Arabidopsis thaliana: one gene and its partner. The protein of the gene in region 1 interacts with the protein of each later gene in a pairwise test. Each region holds a gene or a part of one and is shown on either strand. Other genes may lie near its edges. The genes, in order: AT1G22490 and ATO.

Region 1 (4,454 bases):
TCAAAATTGATTTCTACTATTATATATTCCCAGAGTGATTAGATCAGAATAATCAAAAGATGCCACCTAATTTATATACATAACTTTTTTGGTTTTTGATGTTGAAAAGTAGTGACAAAAGATTTTTAATAGACCATCATTTTATAACATGCAAGTAAATATCTCGATTTAAATATATTTTTAATAACATCACGAAACAAATTTGTTAAAACCTGACATAAAGTGATCCCCACCGGCCAAAATAAATCTTCTATTGGTTGTGTATTTTCTGACAAACATTTGTTTTAAAGATTTTTAATTTTAATCGGATACTTAACCATATATTTGATATGGAAATACATTATATTTTTGTTTAAAGTAAAATAATAGAACATGAGTGTAACTAGACGACCCCCAACCTGCAAACAGATTATTTGGTCTTGTGGACTGGTCTACTACTATCTCACGTGCAAACTTGACGCTGCAATGTATACATTTATCTATATGCATCTATGTATCTAAATAGTAATTAGTAACCATAGATAATGGATCTAATTCCACGAAGTTGGATAGATATTCTAAGGTAATATCTGGTAGAATTTTAATTTTCAAACCAAAAAAATTGTTACCAGATGTGAATGCGTAGAACTAAAAATTAATTGGCGTAGACCGTCCTAACTGGAAACTCAAATAACTTTGTTTACAAGTAGCATGTAACTGTATATATATAATGCTTTAGAATTTTTATGGTCCAATTGAAAATTTCACATTTTCGTTTTATTGTATCACTCACTTGTCCGACTGACGTAGAATTGCACGTCTTAATTTTTTTTTGGCGAAAACGCTAATCCGCAACAAAAAAATTTGTTAAAGTAGTCCGTAACTTTTTTTTTGGTTAAAGTAATCCGCAACATGACATATTAGTACTAACGAACTATTGTTTTTTCTATTAATTTTTTGCTATATTTAGAATTTTAAGTAGTTTAGCCATCACCATCTGTGTATCCTTACACTATACATATTCGGAAAAACTCGAAAGAGGTTTTAACTGGTTATGATCACCACCAGCAGTCCAGCACCAGTTTTCTTTCACTCGAACGTCAATATAAATTCACTGCCCACTATATCAGCTTTACCATTTCTTAATAAATTATTTATTATTTATTTGATTTTGAACTAAGAAAGATTATGGGTTTTTAGGAATAGTTCCAAACAATTAACATCTTAATAATAAAATTACTATATAATAAAACTAATTTATATTAAAAACATTATGAACAATTTTTTTCTTTATTTTCTTAACCTCTAATTATTATGAACAAGTTATTTAAATACAATTGGGATGATTATTACAAGTGCACTTTATATCTCCTTTTCAGTGTTTTTTATATATATATTGGTGACAAATACATCTTTTCTTTAGTTTTATTTTTCTTTTCGTTTTTGATCTCTGCGGGAGCATTTATTTTTGGTCAACTGTGAGAGCATCAAAAAAAAAAAAAAAAAAATTAATAGCCTCACAAAGCTTCTCTCAATTCCCTTTTTAAATAAATCACACCACTTTGTTTGATCCTCATATTTCGGTTTTCACTCTCATATCTTTCTTTTGTATATTTATTTTTGTTGAAGATTCACTCTCCTATTCTTCCTCCATGCCGGTGAGTTCTTGAGAATTTAATATTTTGTAAATCAATTTACAAAAAATCTTCATATAACTAATACCATGCTTAGTTTCCTTTAGTGGGCTTAACCCTTTTGCCTTTATTTCCCCCTCGAGACAAAAAGGAGAGCGACAAACACTTCCTGTCTAAATTTTGTTTTCTCTCCTTCTCTCTCCCTCTCTCGGTTTCTCAATCTTTCTTATTTTTTCCATAATTCTGAATTTTTCTTTTCAACAATCTCCGGCTAAAAAATGCCCTTAGAGGCTGTCGTATACCCGCAAGATCCATTCGGATATCTCTCCAATTGCAAAGATTTTATGTTCCACGACTTATACTCTCAAGAAGAGTTCGTAGCTCAAGATACGAAGAACAACATTGATAAGTTAGGGCATGAACAGAGCTTTGTGGAACAAGGTAAGGAGGACGATCATCAATGGCGAGACTATCATCAGTATCCTTTGTTGATCCCTTCGTTGGGAGAAGAGCTTGGTCTTACCGCCATTGATGTGGAGAGTCATCCTCCTCCACAGCACCGGAGGAAGAGGAGGAGAACGAGAAACTGCAAGAACAAGGAAGAGATCGAGAACCAGAGAATGACTCACATCGCCGTCGAGAGAAATCGCCGGAAACAGATGAACGAGTATCTGGCTGTGCTCCGTTCTCTAATGCCGTCGTCGTATGCTCAAAGAGTAACTTACTAATTCAATGTTTATATATGCTATATATCATTTGGTCAGGGTCATTCTTAGGTATATGTGTCTTTGTTTTATTACTTGCTTGGCTGTAGTACTCATTTCTCCATAATATATTAACACAAAAGAATAGAATGAAAATGACTGAGAATATATATTGATGTTTTTATACAATATATTAACAAGAAAATCCACCGTAAATATGGAAGGGTGACGCGTTTATATACATACTAATAATCTTTGCTGTTACATATTTTAATGTATTTTTTAAAATAAAATATTATGTGTCACCAAAAATTAGAACGAGTATGATTGAGAATATTGGGATATGTTTTAGAACAATTTCGTAATAAACTTAAGCAATTAGCAATGATACGTGTGTGTGTATATTTATACATTCAAAGATTTTTTCAATCTTTATGATAACTATATGATCTGACATGAGCGGGTTTTGGTGGTAAAGGGAGATCAAGCGTCGATAGTAGGAGGAGCTATAAACTACGTGAAGGAGTTAGAGCATATTTTACAATCTATGGAGCCGAAGAGAACTAGGACTCATGATCCCAAAGGAGACAAGACTAGCACTAGCTCGTTAGTGGGTCCATTCACAGATTTTTTCAGCTTCCCACAATATTCTACAAAGTCATCATCAGATGTACCGGAAAGCTCATCTTCACCGGCGGAGATAGAGGTTACGGTGGCAGAAAGCCATGCGAACATCAAGATAATGACGAAGAAGAAACCGAGGCAGCTTCTTAAGCTCATAACTTCTTTACAAAGCCTAAGGCTCACTCTTCTTCATCTCAATGTCACCACTCTCCACAACTCCATTCTCTACTCCATCAGCGTCAGGGTACGTACATTTTCAACTTCTCATCATTACTTTGTTTGCTTTTGGGGTAATCATGAGATTAAAGTGAGTAATGACTGTGTGTGTGGTGCATATGGTTTCACTTTGTTGATTTATTTTTTTGTCTCTTATTGTTGGGGGGAAATTTTGGATTAGTACTATTGTGGTTATGCCTGGGCTTTAAAAAGGTTGTGAAGAAAAATTAAAATCATTCTCTTTGTTTTTTTCTTACCTCCTTTGGGTACTTAGGGCTGGGGCCTCAATAGTTGTGGGTCAAACTCATAATCATCATTTTGATTATTATTTTTGTCAATAATAAATTGCGTATCTTAATCGTGCCTGTAAGAATCAGGGGACCAACCTAAAGAAACGAAACACGAATATGTGTCTATCTATATCCACGAATTGTATACGTGGTGTTGTGTATTTATATATGTTTATGTATATGTTTATGTACTGTGGATATATGTTCGGTGGTCACATAATTGTAGATGAGATATGTACGGACAACGAAGTGAGTCCACCATTTGTTTCAGGAGATATTTAGCAAATAGAAAGATATTTTGTTATAGTTATCTACATCCTTCTAATTTTGTTTGTTGCAACTTTTTTCAAGAATTGTTATGTATATCTTTATTTCTTAAGAGAAAATGTGTTGGTTCAGGTTGAAGAAGGAAGCCAACTGAATACCGTGGACGACATTGCAACAGCTTTGAATCAAACCATAAGGAGGATTCAAGAAGAGACATAATTCAGCAAATAGATTATAATTAACTTGTTTTATTTTTATTTTATTTTGAAATAACTGAAATCAGTTTTCTAATTTTTTTTTTTTTTCACTATTCCTCTAATCCTCCCTATGTAAGTTGCATTTTTGTCTCTTGTAATGAATCAATGGTCATAAAGATCTGAACAAAAAAATTGAATAAAAGAAAATGGTTTAAGTCGATAAGTATGTGACATTGGGCGCTAATAGCCGTTAGGCCTACGCCTAATGTACTTCTCAGTGTTTTTAGGGTTGTGTTTAGTGTATAATTATAATGATTAATAGTATGATTGATTAATTTTTGAATTTATTTTCTTCAAAGATGAATTCGTCTTTTTCTAGAACTTTTAAAGTTTGTGGGTTCAACTTTTAATCCGTTAATCACTAAATTTTAGCATGCTCCTACGATAGTGGAGGTTATACCTTTGGCTTTGAATGCAAACAAATTCTTTCTATCTAGTAACCCAAGAAAATAAAATTGAAAATAAAAAATTTGATATACAAGG
Region 2 (6,548 bases), on another chromosome or scaffold:
GTTTTGCCTATAAGGCTTAAAATAACATGGGCTTAAAGCCCAATAGTCAATAAACGAGGATAAGCTTCTTCGACTAGGGTAAAACAAGTCTTCACTATATATACAATGCATCTTCGATTATAACCCCCAATTCTTAGATATTAGGGCTTATGTTCTAAATCGTGTTATTCGTATTTATCGTTTTTTTTTTAAATCGTTGCGCAGCCCTTAAGATCGCCTTCCACAAATGCTTAATGGAAGCGTGTCGAGTCATTGCTGCGCTAAATCGAAATTTATTAAGGGTTTTTGATTAGGGTTCTCCTAAGAACTAACCCAGTTTTTACCTTCCTGATTTATTATAGGTCGAGTTTTTTTATATCGGCATTAGATCTGGAATTAAGGTCCTCTCTCGCTGACTCTTCAGATATAAGTGTTTATCTCTTTTATCTGCTAGAGATCTTTGCGTTTGAGGATTTTCAGATTTTAATTTCGTTCATTTAGTATCTCGTTCTATATAATCGGGTAGGATACATTGTTTTTATTGGTTTTGCAATGAAACGGCGAGAATGATGAACCAATTAGATGTGCGAATGAGGGGTAATTTCCTCATTATGAGCTTAAAACTGTTTGAGGCATATTTAACATCTCTGACTTCGCCGCTTTTCAAAAGTTTTGTTTGAGTTTTTATTGTTTGTTTTGGTTTGATGGAATAGTGGAAAATGAGGAACATATAACTCAAACGTGAATCAAACCATGTACCAGTTTTTGCTTATTGATATTCTGATTCCACCATTTGAAATGAATAACCATATTTGCTTTGTTTTCTTGATTTGGTTTGCTGTGTTTACGATGAACTCTCATTTGCTTCTCTGTATTTATTATCTTTTTATTAAGAAGATCAACTCATACGAAATGGTGATGTTTCAAAGTGAATTACTTCCAACCTTGATATCCTTAAGTTACAATTAGCGACTCATGAACTAATCGAAATATGGTTTGCCTTAGTTTGCCGTAAAGTAAGTGATATACTGATATGTAAACGATGTTGGCATGGACTATCTTTCAAAGACAACACCTGAAACAGAATTCTTGAGCTTGGACATGGAAGTGACTAATAATGGAAAATTGTTTATAGATAAAAAAAATAATACCAAATATGAATTGTTAACGACATTTCAATTTTGTATGTCCACTCGGAGATCTTCCTTTGGTTTTACAAACATAAATCAATATCAGAAGTCATAAGATTAGTCTATGGGATTGGCTATTATTTTGTTGTCAGGTGGCAATACTTACCCCAAAATGCCCATCGTTGGTTCAATATGAATATATGATCATCCTATATAGCTCTTTCCTGAGGAAAACAACCAAATATAGCTCTTTCCATTGATCTATTAAAGATGTCATCTCAACAAACCTCAATACTATTAGGAGATAGCTTGCAAATCTTATATCATGTGAGATATCATGAATTCAATTTGAAAAGAGTGAATAAATGGCTTGTTAACTCTTTAACTTTGACAATGATGACTTGATTTTGTGTTAGTTTGCTACCAATATCAAAGCCATTCATAGTGGATGGTTGTAAACTGCCCATTTTTTTTCTGTACAACCTTCTCTCCGTTAACATCTTTGCAAATGAACCCATTGAAGTATAGTACAATATCAAACAAACACATAATGTTTGAGTATTCCCATTAAAAGAGGATTGCAATCAGATAAAAAATATATAAATTACCAAATGGAATAGATCTTAAAAGAAAATAATTACCAAATGGTATTTTACCATATTATAGATTTTTTTATAATAAGTAAAATAATAATAAAATATAAAAGAAAAAAAAGAGTCTAAAAAGGCCCAAAACACTAACAGTCAAAAAAAGGCCTAAAACACAAACCGTCTAAAAAGGCCCAAAACATAGTTCGGCTTAAACGACCCAAACCACAACAAAAACCACCCGATTATCTTTTTCTCTCGGATTGGCGTTAAAAATTTTACTGGCGAGATTTCGGATTGAGGAAAAGAAAAGTGACTGGAATTTAGGGTTTAGACTCCGGCGAAGAAGGAGATTTCAAAGCTTCGAAGACAGAGAAAATGTCGTCGACTCTCCTCGAGCAAACTCGCTCCAATCACGAAGAGGTTGAAAGGTTGGAGCGATTGGTTGTGGAAGATCTACAGAAGGAGCCACCGTCCAGCAAGGACAGATTGGTCCAGGGACATCGTGTTCGTCACATGATTGAGTCTATTATGCTCACCACTGAGAAACTTGTACGCTTTCTCTCTTCTTCTCGTCAATTTTTAATCTTCTTTTCTATTTCCCGCATATGTTTTTATGTCTCTTCTCTTTTGAATACGTTAGATCAGAGCAGAGAAACTTGGGTTGCTGATTTTTTTTTAAATAACAGGTTCGTGTTGAGTGTTGCCTCTTTTTCTGTTAATTGCTTTAGCTTTTTAGGTTATCATTGTGGGGTTTAAGTTAGCTTTGAATCACTCTGGCTTGGGTGTTAAATTGAGAAGAAACTTCAGAGATTGGTGTTGAATATAGGTTATAGTTGGGGTCTTAAGTGTGTATGTAGGGATTCTAAGTTTTGAGCTAAGCATGCTTCAGTGTTATTTCACAAATTTGAGTTAATTTTTGTTGTTGATAATTAACTCAAACTTGGATTAATGCTAACCTTGATTCTTGTTTGTTGTAAGGTTGAAACCTATGAAGATAAGGATGGGGCGTGGGATGATGAGATTGCAGCGCTTGGTGGCCAGACTGCGACAGGGACAAATGTGTTTAGTGAATTTTACGATCGTTTGAAAGAGGTTTGTTCTTTATCCTTTGCACCTTCCTTGGTCTTTTTTCCCTAAAACTTGCCTATGGTTCTCTATACCAAGACTTGGCTTTACTTTAGTTTCTGTGGGTTGTATATTAGAGATTGAGCAGCTAACTTTACCGGACTATTAGTTAATCTAGACATTGTTATTTAGCTGTTGATCTTTTAAAAAAAAATAGTTTTATTGATTGCCTTGAACCACTGTGATGGAGAATCAAGAATTATGTACAAAATCTCAGTGAAAGTGTATTAGTTCTGTTCCATCAACAATTTGGTTAGCTGTATAAGGCTTGCTTTGCATAAGAGTATTAAGGCGGTGAAATTTTCATGAGGACACCCTGAATAAGATTCAAATTGCTAATTCGTTTTTTTTTTATTGTCTGAATTATTTGATTTTCTTGTACCACTGATGAAAGCATCAGAGCTGCAACTATTTAACTTCTTTTATAAACTTACAGATACGTGAATATCATAAAAGGCATCCTTCTGGACGTCTTGTTGATGCTAATGAAGACTACGAAGCACGCCTGAAGGAGGAACCAATTATTGCGTTCAGTGGAGAGGTAGGTTTCTGCTTGACTTTTTATTGTTGCTATTTGTTGACGCATTTTTTAACAGTTTGTAAGCCCCTTTTTTATTGTCAATACTTAAATCTTCTTGTCTGTTACGCAGGAAGGCAATGGTCGGTACTTGGACTTGCATGATATGTATAACCAGTACATCAACTCTAAATTTGGGGAAAGGGTTGAATATTCTGCTTACCTTGATGTTTTTTCTCAACCAGAGAAAATACCGCGTAAACTGAAGTTATCGAGGTAAACACTTCATTGGAATTTTCTTTTACTTAGAAAGCCTCCAATTATTTTTCTAGCTGCAGCTGAATGGCTTTCCTTTTTGTATTGCTATTTTTCATTTTAGGCAATACATGAAGTATATGGAAGCTCTACTTGAGTACCTGGTCTACTTCTTCCAGCGAACCGAGCCGTTGCAAGATCTTGACCGGATACTTTCTAAGGTTTAAGCTCCTCCCTTTCTTTATCATTTTATTGCGTTTACCTTGTTGCCTTATGAAATTTTATGGGCGTTTCGAACTATGCATTAGTACATAACTGGTATATTTATTCGTGCTTAAGAAGTTTCTACTAGTTTCCCAAGTATTAAGTGTAGAACTTTGGATTTGATTTCCTTAGTTCTAACAACTGGTTGCTTTGTGAGTCTTTCATCCCCCTGGAGATAATACATAATTTTGGAAAATAAATGGCCATAACTAGATGGTTGTATTCAATATTCATTGGTGCATAGTTTGCTCTAAGTGCAGAGATTGTATATCCTCGGAAGGTTTTGAACCATGTTATAGTTTGACATTCTGGTAGTTCTAGTTTGGCCAATGCTGTGCCTATTGTTTGATCTGTTGCGATTAATATGTTTGGTTCTTTTACAGGTTTGTTCTGATTTTGAAGAGCAATATGCAGATGGAATAGTAGAAGGCCTGGATAATGAACTTATTCCATCTCAGCATACTGTCATAGATCTTGATTACTACAGTACAGTCGAGGAACTGGTAGATGTAGGACCTGAAAAGCTAAAAGAGGTAATGACCATACTACTTCATGTTAATATCCTTTTTGAAGCATATTCCCCTAATCATATGTTCTTTGTATGCCATTCAGGCATTGGGGGCATTAGGACTGAAGGTTGGTGGTACTCCGCAGCAGCGTGCCGAGAGACTTTTCCTGACAAAGGTTTTTACACTTGCTATATAATCTCCTATTTCTTTAAGTTTCGTCTTATGAGAGGGTACTTTTATCAATTAGTAGCCGCGTTCTTGTTGTTCTTACTGGGTTTGGAAGGAACATTTAGCTGTTATGAAACCTAGTTTGGTAGTTCAGCTCAGCTCTTCTTCTAATATGAAACTAAGGCTTTTGTTGTCATAGTTCATGTTTTGTAGGGATTGAATTCTATTTGAAGCTTTTCTTATTACCTTGAGGTTATCTAATTCCCTTAATTAATTCAATTTTTGTACAGCATACGCCTTTGGAAAAGCTGGATAAGAAACATTTTGCCAGACCTCCACACAACGGAAAACAAAACGGAGATGCCAAATCAACACATGAGTCTGAAAATGCTAAAGAGATTGCACTAACAGAGGCCAAAGTGAAGAAACTCTGCAATTTACTTGATGAGGTTAGTTGATTGAAAGCTCATAGTGACATTTTTTTCCCCCTCCCAGATATCTAGTTGTACTTTTTCTGTTAACTTTTCTTGTTGTCACCTTTTATAGACCATCGAAAGGACAAAACAAAACATTGTAAAGAAACAGTCGTTGACATATGAAGAAATGGAGGGAGAACGTGAAGGGGAGGAAGCTAATACCGAATTAGAAAGTGATGACGAGGACGGTTTGATTTACAATCCGCTGAAGCTACCAATAGGTTGGGATGGGAAGCCTATACCATACTGGCTCTACAAACTTCATGGCCTTGGCCAGGTATGTAGTTTATTTATGAGACCATTGTTGTATCAAAGGAACATAGATTCACATTAAATTTCTTGTTATTACGCAGGAGTTTAAATGCGAGATATGTGGGAACTATAGCTATTGGGGAAGAAGGGCTTTTGAGAGACATTTTAAAGAATGGCGACACCAACACGGAATGCGTTGCCTAGGAATCCCAAACACAAAGAACTTCAACGAAATCACTTCGATTGAGGTAATAATATAATATGATCAAAGACTTTGTACAGCTTAAAGTAGTAAATAGTTTGGTAATTTGATCTTGTTGTTGTTTGGTTTGTTTCAGGAAGCCAAAGAATTGTGGAAGAGGATACAGGAGAGGCAAGGAGTGAACAAATGGAGGCCAGAACTTGAAGAAGAATATGAAGATCGTGAAGGTAACATTTACAACAAGAAGACTTACTCTGATCTTCAACGCCAAGGTCTCATCTGATTGATCACATCCTCTTGATGAAATCTTCTCTCCTTACTATATCCCTTTAAACCATATTCTACCTTTCGCCTTTGTAAAATCAAACCATTCGTCATCTTTTTGTGAGGTTTCGTCTCATTAAAACAGTATTTAGTTTATGTTTTTGAATTGACTATCACAATCGAGGATATAAAATTTGTTTTTGTATGGACAATGCTAGTAAGGAATAGTTGAGGACTTTACTTCAATAACAAGAAACAGATATGAGTTAATATAGGATACTACATGTAAGAATCAATCACTAAAGTTTTCAGATGATAGTGTACTCACAAATTTTGAACTAATTTTTTGATCTTTGATATTCTTACAAAATTGGAATGTTTTAATTTCCTTAATTATCCAATTCCTAACAAATCATTGGTTCCTTTTTTGATAAAACTTAAAATTTGAGTCAAACTTTATAAAAATTATCAAAATAAACAGATACAACCTCAATACCTCATACGACTGTCAAATTTTTTAAAGTAAGCTATCACATAGTTTACCTTTATTTTTTTTTATTATATTTATTTACGATATTTTTTTTTTTTGAAAAATACACAGATATTTGATTTTGGTCAGATATATGTCCATATACGAAGACTTTCAAATTTTATTTGTTTTCAAAAAACCTAAACATACAATCTCATTTTGCTATTTTGGAAAGAATAATGAAATATTCCTTTCTTAATCATATTCCAAAATTTTAATTAAGAAATAAAAGTTGGGATGGGCTTTACCTTTTTTATTTACAGTCCAACGGCCTCATTCGATGACTAG

The links.
Region 2: the proteins of AT1G22490 (region 1) and ATO interact in binary tests that used the Arabidopsis thaliana proteins (3 or more experiments, as listed by UniProt).

Annotation. Positions count from the first base shown.
Region 1 is NC_003070.9:7,937,927-7,942,380, reverse strand, and holds AT1G22490 (basic helix-loop-helix (bHLH) DNA-binding superfamily protein), read left to right. Parts: upstream 1-1,755; 5' UTR 1,756-1,891; coding exon 1,892-2,329; intron 2,330-2,795; coding exon 2,796-3,338; 3' UTR 3,339-3,784; downstream 3,785-4,454.
Region 2 is NC_003076.8:1,861,825-1,868,372, reverse strand, and holds ATO (splicing factor-like protein), read left to right. Parts: upstream 1-1,939; 5' UTR 1,940-2,074; coding exon 2,075-2,248; intron 2,249-2,677; coding exon 2,678-2,791; intron 2,792-3,260; coding exon 3,261-3,365; intron 3,366-3,474; coding exon 3,475-3,617; intron 3,618-3,720; coding exon 3,721-3,817; intron 3,818-4,243; coding exon 4,244-4,393; intron 4,394-4,472; coding exon 4,473-4,544; intron 4,545-4,827; coding exon 4,828-4,986; intron 4,987-5,083; coding exon 5,084-5,290; intron 5,291-5,366; coding exon 5,367-5,513; intron 5,514-5,603; coding exon 5,604-5,750; 3' UTR 5,751-6,048; downstream 6,049-6,548. UniProt on the Arabidopsis thaliana protein: Splicing factor homolog to SF3a60 that may be involved in pre-spliceosome formation. Is necessary for gametic cell fate determination.